2 linked regions of the Caenorhabditis elegans genome follow. The protein of the gene in region 1 purifies or fractionates together with the protein of each later gene. This does not show direct contact. Each region holds a gene or a part of one and is shown on either strand. Other genes may lie near its edges.

What was found.
Region 2: the proteins of sir-2.3 (region 1) and pyc-1 purify together in Caenorhabditis elegans (affinity purification with western blotting, with the first as the bait; one study listed by BioGRID). This does not show direct contact.

What each region holds. Positions count from the first base shown.
Region 1 is NC_003284.9:13,329,827-13,334,462, forward strand, and holds sir-2.3 (NAD-dependent protein deacylase sir-2.3), read left to right. Parts: upstream 1-2,187; 5' UTR 2,188-2,189; coding exon 2,190-2,316; intron 2,317-2,368; coding exon 2,369-2,471; intron 2,472-2,665; coding exon 2,666-2,806; intron 2,807-2,850; coding exon 2,851-2,931; intron 2,932-3,144; coding exon 3,145-3,259; intron 3,260-3,310; coding exon 3,311-3,493; intron 3,494-3,749; coding exon 3,750-3,863; 3' UTR 3,864-4,020; downstream 4,021-4,636. Other genes in the region: NAD-dependent protein deacylase sir-2.2, read left to right, coding at 1-74, 118-198, 658-772, 819-1,001, 1,163-1,276; F46G10.4 (Fungal lipase-type domain-containing protein), read left to right, coding at 4,285-4,332, 4,421-4,520, 4,570-4,636. UniProt on the Caenorhabditis elegans protein: NAD-dependent protein deacylase. Catalyzes the NAD-dependent hydrolysis of acyl groups from lysine residues. Plays a role in oxidative stress resistance.
Region 2 is NC_003283.11:11,816,998-11,823,905, forward strand, and holds pyc-1 (Pyruvate carboxylase 1), read right to left. Parts: upstream 5,369-6,908; 5' UTR 5,356-5,368; coding exon 5,254-5,355; intron 5,204-5,253; coding exon 4,997-5,203; intron 4,953-4,996; coding exon 4,526-4,952; intron 4,480-4,525; coding exon 3,863-4,479; intron 3,717-3,862; coding exon 3,370-3,716; intron 3,323-3,369; coding exon 2,562-3,322; intron 2,518-2,561; coding exon 1,844-2,517; intron 1,784-1,843; coding exon 1,541-1,783; intron 1,283-1,540; coding exon 1,133-1,282; 3' UTR 786-1,132; downstream 1-785. UniProt on the Caenorhabditis elegans protein: Pyruvate carboxylase catalyzes a 2-step reaction, involving the ATP-dependent carboxylation of the covalently attached biotin in the first step and the transfer of the carboxyl group to pyruvate in the second.

The sequences.
Region 1 (4,636 bases):
GCACTATCGAAATGGGAAGCTTCCGATAGATTCCAATGGTTAATCACACAAAACGTGGATGGGCTTCACTTAAAGTAAAGACGGTCAAAAATGAGTTAAAATTTTTTTTTAATTCAGAGCGGGCTCAAAAATGGTAACGGAACTTCATGGCAGTGCTCTTCAAGTAAAATGTACAACATGTGATTACATTGAATCAAGGTACATTGGACTGAATCAACTCAATTATGGAAAAAAAAAAACAATTTCTCAATGAGGAATTGTTTGATAAAAGCTAAAACAAATGATGATTTACTAAAATTGAACAATCACATGTAGCGTAGAAAAAAGGATTGTTATACATATTTGGATTTAAAAAAAACGAAAAGATAACATTTTAACTAAAATGTTGAAACTTCCTCTAAAATGTATCGGTGAACTTCCTTATAACATATTTTAATTAACGTACATTCTTCCTAATTGATAATGTTTGATCATTGTAACTTCATTGACTTTTCGATTTCACTCCACTTCCTGAATGTGTGGAATGGCAGACAATCTAAGAGAGTATGGACGCCTCTTAATGTATCTAATAGGCCACTTCACATTTCGGTTTGTGAACGTAAAAATAACCGTTTATTTTATAAGGGATCTCATAAAATTAAAACGTTTCAACTTCAGACAAACGTACCAAGACCGACTTGATTACGCAAATCCTGGGTTTAAAGAAGAACACGTGGCTCCAGGAGAGCTGGCGCCAGATGGTGACATTATTCTACCGTTGGGAACTGAGAAAGTAAGTGTTTTACGGTGGAATAAGTCGAAAAATACAGTGTTTTCAGGGTTTCCAAATTCCCGAGTGCCCAAGTTGTGGGGGACTTATGAAGACAGATGTCACGTTTTTTGGAGAGAACGTTAACATGGACAAAGTCAATTTTTGTTACGAGAAAGTGAATGAATGTGATGGGATTTTATCACTTGGCACGTCGTTGGCGGTGTTATCTGGATTTCGGTTTATCCATCATGTAAGGCTAATGGGATTTACTGGATGACTTTTTTGGTTATCTAAAAACAAAAACGTTTTGATGTTTCCGTGGGTAGCACAAAAATTAACTATTTAAAAAAATTTCAAACAACTTTTTTAGATTGTTAAGAGTCCTTCAAAAATAAAAATGTAAACTTTCAGGCTAACATGAAGAAGAAACCAATTTTCATAGTCAATATAGGACCTACAAGAGCTGATCACATGGCGACGATGAAGTTAGATTATAAAATCTCTGACGTTTTAAAAGAAATGTAGACTAAGACGTGTAGTTTTGGAATTTGATAATATTGTGTTGACGACAGTTTTTTGGGTACTTTCCGTTTGTATTTTGAAACTTTTTTTTATTGTTTGAATAGAATGGCAATTTGTTTCATGTTAATTGGAATAAACAATTTTTGATGAATATGATTGTGAAAATGCGTTATTTTCAGAAAAAAAATCATCTACTCCTGCAAAAAAAGTAACAAAATTGGCAAAACAAAATCCTGGAATTAGGAGATAGACTCAAATATTTTACCAAACAGCTTTTCTATATTATGAGAATATAATCACTTTTTGTTCATCAAGGATAACTTGCTTAGTTCTTTTTTAAAGTTTATGATTCTTCTTTAGTAGTAGTTTTTTTTTTTAAATCAAGATTCCCAATGGGATGATCATTTTAAACATCGCACCATATTGCTTTGATGACATGATTTAAACTATTTCAACACCTTCGTAAGGTTAGATTTTTATTATCAATTTTGTCAAATATTTTATTTCCTCATTAAACAATTATTTTTAAAACCTTGCTATCAAAAAAATTGTGGACTTTGTTCTGTACCTAGATAATCTTCCAGCTGTTGGTTGGTCTCCCATTATTCTTTCATTTTCGGCGGACCCGCACTCTCTGCCGGCGTTTTCCTTGGCAATACAGGAAGAGGTTACTGGATTTCTCTACTCTACTCTCTCGCCTGTGCAAATAGAGCGCGATTCATCCAAAGATATATTTTTAAGGGTTTTTTGAATGAACGTGATTCAACACAATTAGCTGTAAGATCCGGACTCGAAACTCTTGTGAATAATTTTTCAATAACGTTTATGAATAAAATTAAAAAAAAAACTGTTCTTATTGTTCTTCATTATTTTCACTTGTTTTGACAATCAATTCATCTTCGACAGTATTTTAGGAATGGCACGAAAGTATGTACCACATACGACAGAGCTTTGTGAAAACTCCCTAAAAAAGTTTAAGTCACTGGTAGGGACTGTGGATAAGCTTCTCATCATCACTGGAGCAGGAATTTCTACAGAATCAGGTTTTTTTTCAGGTACAGGTACAATCAGGTACAATATAGTTTTCATTTTCAGGAATACCAGATTATCGATCGAAAGATGTCGGATTGTACACAAAGACTGCACTTGAACCAATTTATTTCCAGGATTTTATGAAATCAAAGAAATGTAGGCAGAGGTGAGAGTACTTTTGAAATTTGTTGGGCCTTACTCTTGCAATTGTGATATTTCAATTTATAAAAACTTTGTGCCAAAGACTTTGAAAAAAGGCTCATAACTGCTCTCACGTATTAATATCATTACAATTTTATAGGTTTTATGATTCAGTAACACATTTTCTTTTTGGCATGCTTAATTATCTTTTGTCTTCAGATACTGGTCTCGTAGCTACTTGAATTGGCCAAGATTTGCTCAAGCTTTACCTAACTTCAATCATTACGCCTTATCAAAATGGGAAGCTGCTAACAAATTTCATTGGTTGATCACACAAAATGTGGATGGACTTCACTTAAAGTAAGTGAAGTTAACAAAATGAAAATATTAAAATAAAAGTTAAGAGCGGGCTCGAAAATGATAACGGAACTTCATGGCAACGCTCTTCAAGTAAAATGCACATCATGTGAATACATCGAGACAAGGTAAGGAATGAAGAAAAATTGGTACTAACTGTTTTGAAATTTGAAATTTAGAACTTTATACTTGGAACAATTTTGAACCAAAACAGGTTTGTACTTGAATGGAATTGAGATAAAAATAGAATGAATGTTAGTTGTTTCAAAATTATTAATAACAAGCAGTTACATATATCTATTTTTGACATTGCTCGCGTAAATCATCTTTTATAATTTCAGACAAACGTATCAAGACCGCCTGAATTATGCAAATCCTGGCTTCAAAGAGCAGTTTGTATCTCCTGGACAGCAAGAGCTAGATGCTGACACTGCCTTGCCGTTGGGTAGCGAACAAGTAAGTTTTTTTTTCAACAATTAGAAACAATTGCATAAAAAAGTTTTACAGGGGTTCAAGATTCCCGAGTGTTTAAATTGTGGGGGACTTATGAAGACAGATGTAACGTTGTTTGGGGAGAACCTAAACACTGACAAAATTAAAGTTTGTGGCAAGAAGGTGAATGAATGCAATGGAGTTTTAACACTTGGGACATCGTTGGAAGTGCTTTCCGGATATCAGATTGTCAATCATGTGAGAAAACAATTTTTTTAAAAATCAGAGCGACTATGTTTTTTAATTGCTGTCAAATACAACAGTCAAAAAAACCGACTTACTTAATCATACCACATTCGACATTTTTGGCAAAATTTCGCTTCGTGTACTAGAAATTCTGAGAAAATATAAAAATCGCTCCTATTGGCTTTTTTTTGAAAACTTTTGGCTACACACTGTTTATACATTCCTAAAATAAAATTACTTGTCTCACTCGTCAAAAATTAATTTTCAGGCCCATATGCAAAACAAACCAATTTTCATCGTGAACATTGGACCTACTAGAGCTGATCAGATGGCAACAATGAAGTTAGACTACAGAATTTCGGATGTTTTGAAAGAAATGTAAAGCAAGATGTGTGGTTTTTTAATTTTTAAGTTCTCATGTTCTCATGTTCTCATGATTTATAAGGGTGTTCACCGTTTTCCATTTAATTGAAAATTATTATTTTTGATTATGTTCTAGAGAAAGTTAACAATACAATAAACGATATGTACATGTTGAAGTTTACACGTACGCCATTTTTTTCCAAAAAAACGAACACAAAACGGTAATATCAGTGAGGGACCTGACTCACAAAACTAACAAGAAAAATACCTGTCAGACAGAAAAAAAAATGACGTTCTCTAAGAACATCGATTATTTTTCTGTCGTTTACTGCCTTGTCTTCTACACATGAGAAAAAGTCCAGTCAGAAAGGTGATAAGCGCTTCGTGATGGCAAAAATCAAACACAAAGGCAGGCGGACAAGCGGTTATCATTTTTGCACATGGAGCCTGGTAACAAAAGTATAACTATCACACCCGTCGTTTATTTGGTAAGTGTTTTTCTTTGTTTTTCGGCTGTGTTCATTTTTGAACGAATTAGATTTAATATGGAATAAAACTTTATTGCATTTCTTTCAGCTCCTCACATTCTTTCATTCAGTATCCGGGTATGCGTTGTACAGGGAAGTAGAAGCAGAACAATTTTTAAATTTAGCAGCAGCAGCATATGCGGACGCCAGTAAATTTAGAGGAAATTTTGCCCATTTGAAAAAAATTAATATGTTCAGGCAATGTAACAGCTCGTCAGTCATGTCTAGATTATGCATTTCCTACTGATGAGTTTCATGTTTTAAT
Region 2 (6,908 bases), on another chromosome or scaffold:
ATCATATTTTAAACGGGTCAAAATGTTCTGTCTGCCCTATATGAACAATCCTATGCCACTGTAAAAAATTGCAAAAAAACGTTAGACTTCAGGATATTGAACTTTGGATCATCTGATCATGAGCCCAGAACCGTTGAGCCACAGAGCCGTGATTTTGAACTGACAATAAATAAATAAAAATCTTTTTGAAGTATATTCTGTTCACGTAAAAACTCTTAACCATATGAAATAAATAGTTGGGCTTACGTTGAAAATCAACTGAAATCAGTAGTAATTTTCAGACGCAAATATCTCGAGTTCTAGATGTCCGAGGCAAAAATGGTCTCTTACGTTGAAGAAGTACATAATATCAGCTATCGAATGGCACTAAATTTGTTTTAAAATTCTAAATTCTCTGAAACCATTCCCAAGTAAAATAAATAAAACTTTAAAACATACGTTTTCTTTTCAGATATTTCAGTCTCTATAATTTGTGTTTTGTTTTTTTTAAATTAAATGGCGTAGTGAATAGTACTATTTACACTAACGTAGGTATTATGTAGAAGTCTAAAGATAAACATTTTCCCCAGCAAACACGAAATTACTGTAACTCCTGTTGATTTATGAGTCTCCATTGCAACCTATTTTTATGTTAAAAATCTTCTCAGCAATAGTGGTCAGTAAAGTGAGACGAGCTAGCTCGCAGTTCGCGTGGCGAGACCAATGCGCGTATGATATGGCGACTCTTCCCATCATTAGATTTCTACGTAATAATTGATTTTATCGAGTTGCTTTATCGAGTTGCATTGCTCTTCGGTGAGTTTCAGTGATAAAATTGAGAGAGAAGTGAACGAGTTTATATTCTACACAAAGACAATGAGCACCCGATGCAATAAATACTTTTTCTAAGAAAACAATATAAATGCAAAAGTGGAGGGAAAACGAAAAATTACTGGCAATGAAGACGTTTAGAAAATTTTGGGGAGGCAATACACAGAATATACACATTGAGATGGTTCGAATGGCAAAGAGAAGGTGGTGGCTAATCATTCTATATAGCACAACGCCAAATATAATTTCGATGTGGCGGAATTTGTGATGGTGAATGGAATTAACAAAAAAAGAGACAAAATGCGAGTTTATTGATGTCAGTTCATGGTTCAACTTCAACTACCAAGTCTCCGGCACTACATTTGGTTCCTTGTGGTGCATGGATAGCCTTGACGGTTCCAGCAATTGGAGAGTCGATGACCATCTCCATTTTCATGGCGGAAAGCACAAATAGGGGTTGCTTCTTGGTAACCTGAAAAGAAATAATTCCTATATTCATTTTTTATGCCATCATTTTTTTATGTGATTTTTGTGTAGGACAAGAAGAAAAAACGTGGGAGGCATAAGGCTATAAATTTATCTCTTTCCGTTTTTCCCTACAATTTCCGTTGTGGGGCCCACCGCTTCTGAATTCGTCCCATTTGTCTTTTTTTGTTTTTCAAAGAAATTCAGAATACATATCCCGGATGCATGATTGATTTATTACATCTTTAGATATGCGTTGTATTACCTTGTCGCCTTCCTTGATTTTCAGCTCCAAAACATCTCCTGGCATTGGTGCTCCAATATGTCCACGGACACCTGGGAGAGCTCTTGGGCGAGTTACAATTTCCTTGGAAGCTTCCTTGTCAACCACGAAGATACTTCTCATTTGTCCATTGAGATCAAAGAAGACTTCGCGTTCTCCACGCTTGTTTAGTTTTCCTTCAGCGAGCAATTGAATTGCAAGAGTTTTTCCACTCTCGATTTCAACCTGAAATAAAATTCATAAGTCGTGAAATTCAGAAATGTAGATTAATGTAGAATCACTTACATCAACTTCTTCCGCAATCTCCAATCCAGTCAAGAAGAGTCTCGTTGGCAGCTTATCAACTGGTCCATATTGTTGACGGAAAGTCTCAAACTCATCGAAAACCGTTGGGAACATCGAATATGACATCACATCTTCTTCAGACAAAGTACGTCCATGTTTCTCTTCAAGTTCGACCTTCACAGCATCTAGATCAACTGGCTTAGCATTTTCTCCTGGCCTTCCATCGACTTTTGGCTTTCCACGAAGGACTTTAGTTCTCAATGGCTCAGGGAATCCATATGGAGGTTGTCCGACATTTCCTTGCATGAAATCAACGACACTTTTTGGGAAGGATAGATCATCGGCACGGTCGACAAGAGTTTCGCGAGTCAAGTTGTTTTGCACCATAAACTGAGCCAAGTCACCGACAATCTTGGATGATGGCGTAACTTTAATTATGTCGCCAAGAACAAGATTAGCTTCACGATACATACGCTTGACTTCATCGAACTGTGGCCCAAGTCCGAGAGAGAATGCTTGGAATTGCAAGTTCGTGTACTGTCCTCCTGGAATTTCGTGCTTGTAAACATCGGCATTTCCACTTTTCATGGTGGTGGCACATTCGAATGGAGCATAGAGTTGACGAGTTGACTCCCAGTATGCAGAATATTTTGAAATGTCATCAAGAGAAAGACCTTAAATATAAATTAGACATTTTTCAAACGATATTGTAACTCACCAGTATCATGTTTAGTTCCTTGAAGACTAGCTACAATAGCTCCCATTGAAGGCTGAGAAGTCATTCCACTCATGCTATCAACTGCAGCATCGACCACATCAGCTCCAGCTTTGGCACACTCAAGCATAGCAGCAACTCCAGCTCCAGATGTATCGTGGGTATGAACGTGAATTGGAATATCTGGGAACTTGTCTCGGAGAGCGCCAATCAACAACTTGGCAGCTTCCGGTTTCAGAACTCCAGCCATATCCTTGATAGAAAGAATATGCGCTTGAGCTTTGACAAGTTGATCAGCCAAGTTCAAATAGTATTTGAGGTCGTATTTGTCACGAGACTTATCGGTAACATCTCCAGTGTATGCGATAGCAGCTTCAACAACTCCACCGGCCTTTCCAACGGCTTCCATTCCGACGAGAAGATTTGGAAGATAGTTCAGTGAATCAAATACACGGAACACATCCATTCCATTTTTCACCGCCAACTCGCAGAACTTGTAAATAACGTTATCAGGATAATTTGAATATCCCATAGCATTGGCACCTCGCAGAAGACATTGGAATGGAATATTTGGAATCAGTTTGCGAAGAGTTTGAAGACGTTCCCATGGACACTCGTGGAGGAAGCGCATGGAAACATCGAAAGTAGCTCCTCCCCAGTTTTCAAGTGAGAAGAGACCATTGAATGATTGGGCAACAAAAGGTGAAATAGCAGCCATATCATAGGTACGTACTCGTGTTGCAAGAAGAGATTGATGTGCATCTCTGAAAATGTGAAATTAATATATGTTACTTTCTTTTTGAGTTTATACCTGAATGTAGTATCAGTGATCATACATCCTGGTCTACTGCGAACTTCCTTTGCAAACTCAGTTGGTCCTCTTTGAACAAGTACATCACGAAGTCCAGTCGGCGGTTTGGCTCCAGCTGGGATGTATGGGATCGGAGGAGAAACAACTGCTGGTTTCAGGTCAGTAGCAAGAGGAGTAGTTGGACCGTTCACCTTAACTTCTCCCAAATAGTTCAACAACTTTTGAGCACGGTTTTGGCTTGGTTTGAATTGGAACAACTCTGGATGCTCATCAATGAAATACGTATCGACGGATGCATCAAGGAAGCTGGGCTGGCGAAGAACGTTGAGCAGAAATGGGATGTTTGTCTGAAAAAGTTTAAAGTTTAGTCATTGATCAGCCATCAGGCAGAATATCAGTCAGTGGCAATGGGTTTCCTTATCAGTGAGAAAATGGTGATAGCTATCAACATGATTTGGTGTACTTTGATTTCATTTTTTGATTGAATTCTCACCTTTACGCCTCGGATACGGAACTTTTTGAGGGCACGAATCATTTTTGCGGCAGCGTTCGGATGATTTCTAGCCGATGCAATTACTTTGACCATCAAAGAATCGTAGTGAGGTGAAATGACTGATCCTGCGAAGGCAGATGCTGAATCAAGACGAATTCCCATTCCCTCTCCGGATCGGAAAACTTCAATTCTTCCGGAATCTGGCTGGAATCCTTTAGCTGGATCTTCAGTTGTGACACGACATTGAATAGCTGAGCCAGTAGTTTGAATAGTTTCCTGTGAAAGCTTCAGATCATCCAGAGATTTTCCTTCGGCGATACGAATTTGAGCTTGGACAAGATCCACACCAGTGATCTCTTCAGTTACTGTATGCTCGACTTGAAGACGTGCATTCACTTCGATGAAATAGTAGTTGCCCTTCTGATCAACCAGGAATTCGACTGTACCAGCATTTTGGTATCCAACATGTCTTGCAAGTCGAAGAGCGTCTGCCAAAATTTTCTCACGAACACCTTCTGGGAGAGCTGGCGCTGGAGCAATTTCAACAACCTTTTGATGACGACGTTGCACTGAACAATCACGCTCATACAAATGAACAATATTTCCATGATGGTCTCCTGAAAAATATATTATGTAATTATAATAGTTTCCGCTGAAACTAACCAAGCAGCTGAACTTCAATATGTCTTGGTCTCTCAACAAACTTTTCAACGAAAAGACTTCCGTCTCCAAACGCAGCTTGAGCTTCCGAGTAGGATCTACGGAATGCCTCTTCAACTTCTTCCAATTTATCAACACGACGAATTCCACGACCACCTCCTCCATAAGCGGCCTTCAAAATAATTGGTGTACCGTACTGCTTTGCAAATTCGACAGCTTCATCAGCAGTTGTAATTGGTCCAGGAGTTCCTGGAACGACTTGAACACCAGCTTCAATGGCAGCTTGACGAGCAGCAACTTTGTCTCCCATTCGAGCCATAACGTCGGGGCTAGGACCAATGAACACTATTCCTGCATTTTGACAAGCAGCTGCAAAGTCAGATCGCTCTGACAGAAATCCATATCCGGGATGAATAGCATCAATGTTGTGCTATAAAGGGTACGATAATCTTGGTCAATTTTTGTCCTACAAACCTTCAGGGCAGTTTCTATAATCTGGTCAATAGTCAGATAAGCAGCAACCGGTGGAAGACCTTTTCCTACAAGATAGGCTTCGTCAGCTTTCAGACGATGCATCGAGTTTTTGTCCTGCTCGGCGTAAATCGCAACAGAAGTTTTGTTCAATTCTGTGAGGGCACGGAACACACGGATTGCAATTTCTCCACGATTGGCCACCATAACCTGAAAAAATTTCCGAATTTATCTTCAAGCACGAAAAAGAAATGAAATACCTTGTTGAATTCTCTTGGTTTGATAACTCCATTGGCATAGTTACGATAATGTGTCTGTCGGACGACATTAGCGAAGATCGGTGGGATGCGGGAGAACCGCATCGTTGTCGTTTATCTGAAACATGCATAGTTTTGAGACGGTGAACCTATTCGGTGAATACAACCAATGAAGATTATTCAATAATGATAGTGTGAACATCGAAGAGACACAGAAACATTACTTTGGTGTACCTTCTACTGTGTGAGAGCAGAAAGCTCAAGAACGAATCGAAGTGTGGTAAACTTCTTCGGAATTCGGACATTATTTGAGATTTTTAGAAGTATCCACGTTGACCACGTGATAAATTAGAACGGTGAAAAATGTGAAAGGTCACGTACGCAGAGCAATAGAGATTTTGAAAAGACCAAGAGGTCACACCACATGAGAGTGAGTGTATGTATGAAGATACATTAATTGATTTAAAAATCATTGTTCATTCTCCATAGAACCACCTAGTGATATTTGTAGAGAAGAATAACAACAGTACTGATAACATTGATAGAATGATAGGAGAAGGGAAGAAAATAAAATATTTTGTTTTTCGATTTTCTAGGTTTTTTCGGTGAAATGAGATGTGAAAGAAGAACCACGTGGCATACCCAAGACCAGACGAAGAACCTAGAGAAAATAAGGAAAATTGAAAAAAATAAAAGTAAACAAAGAAGGAAGTTATCAGAAACTACAGAAACTACAGAAGCCACAGAACGTTCAACATTCAGTTTTGGATTTTTGTAAAATTAGAAAATTAGTTTTTAGAATGGTTTATGAGCATGCCATATTAAATATCTATTCCGCACGGCCAAATATTCCAATATTTTTTGCTGTTCTATCGTTAGTTTTTTTTTTTGATATCTCGGGGATTAGTGTTAATGGTGCGTCCATAGTCTGCGGAAAACGGGGAATTCCCGCGTGCGGAAGCGTCCATAGTCTGCGGAAAAAAACAAGGAGTTTCTCGCTTTGTTATTGGTCAATTTCAAAATAGTGGGCGTGTTCAACCAATTAGAGGCTGTAAAATTTTAAGCTGAGCAATGGGAAAACAAGAAACAACAGCTGATTGGTTGGCCACGCCTACTTTTTGAATTTTGAGGAAAAAAAAAGCGAGGAACTCCGGTTTTTCCGCAGACTATGGACGCTTCCGCACGCGGGAAATTCCCGTTTTCCGCAGACTATGGACGCACTATAATAATTTTTTTTAATTTTGCGGATTTAAAGATATAAAATGTCTTAGAGTATCACAATCAAGTTAAAAATTTGAAAAAAATCTAGATTCAAAGAGAACTAGATCAACACTTTGACCATGGCTATGAATTTGCGGCGACAACAAACTGATAGCCGAGAGACGGTGTTTGTGTCATTTTGTCTTATCAGTCGACTCGGGTGGACACTAGAACACAAAAACTGAGACGCAGAGGAGGAGGATAAATGATTTAAACTTCAGAACCTTCGATTTTTCAAAATGTCAAAATGTTCAAAACTGTTTTTGGTCGTAGTGGGATAGTTAATTTTCGTAAAGGGCTGAAAATAAAAATGATTTAATTAAGTTCACTTTAAAGATCAACATAATGATATTTAATGATCAATGAAACACATTTAATAAAATTAAACTGGCCAATAA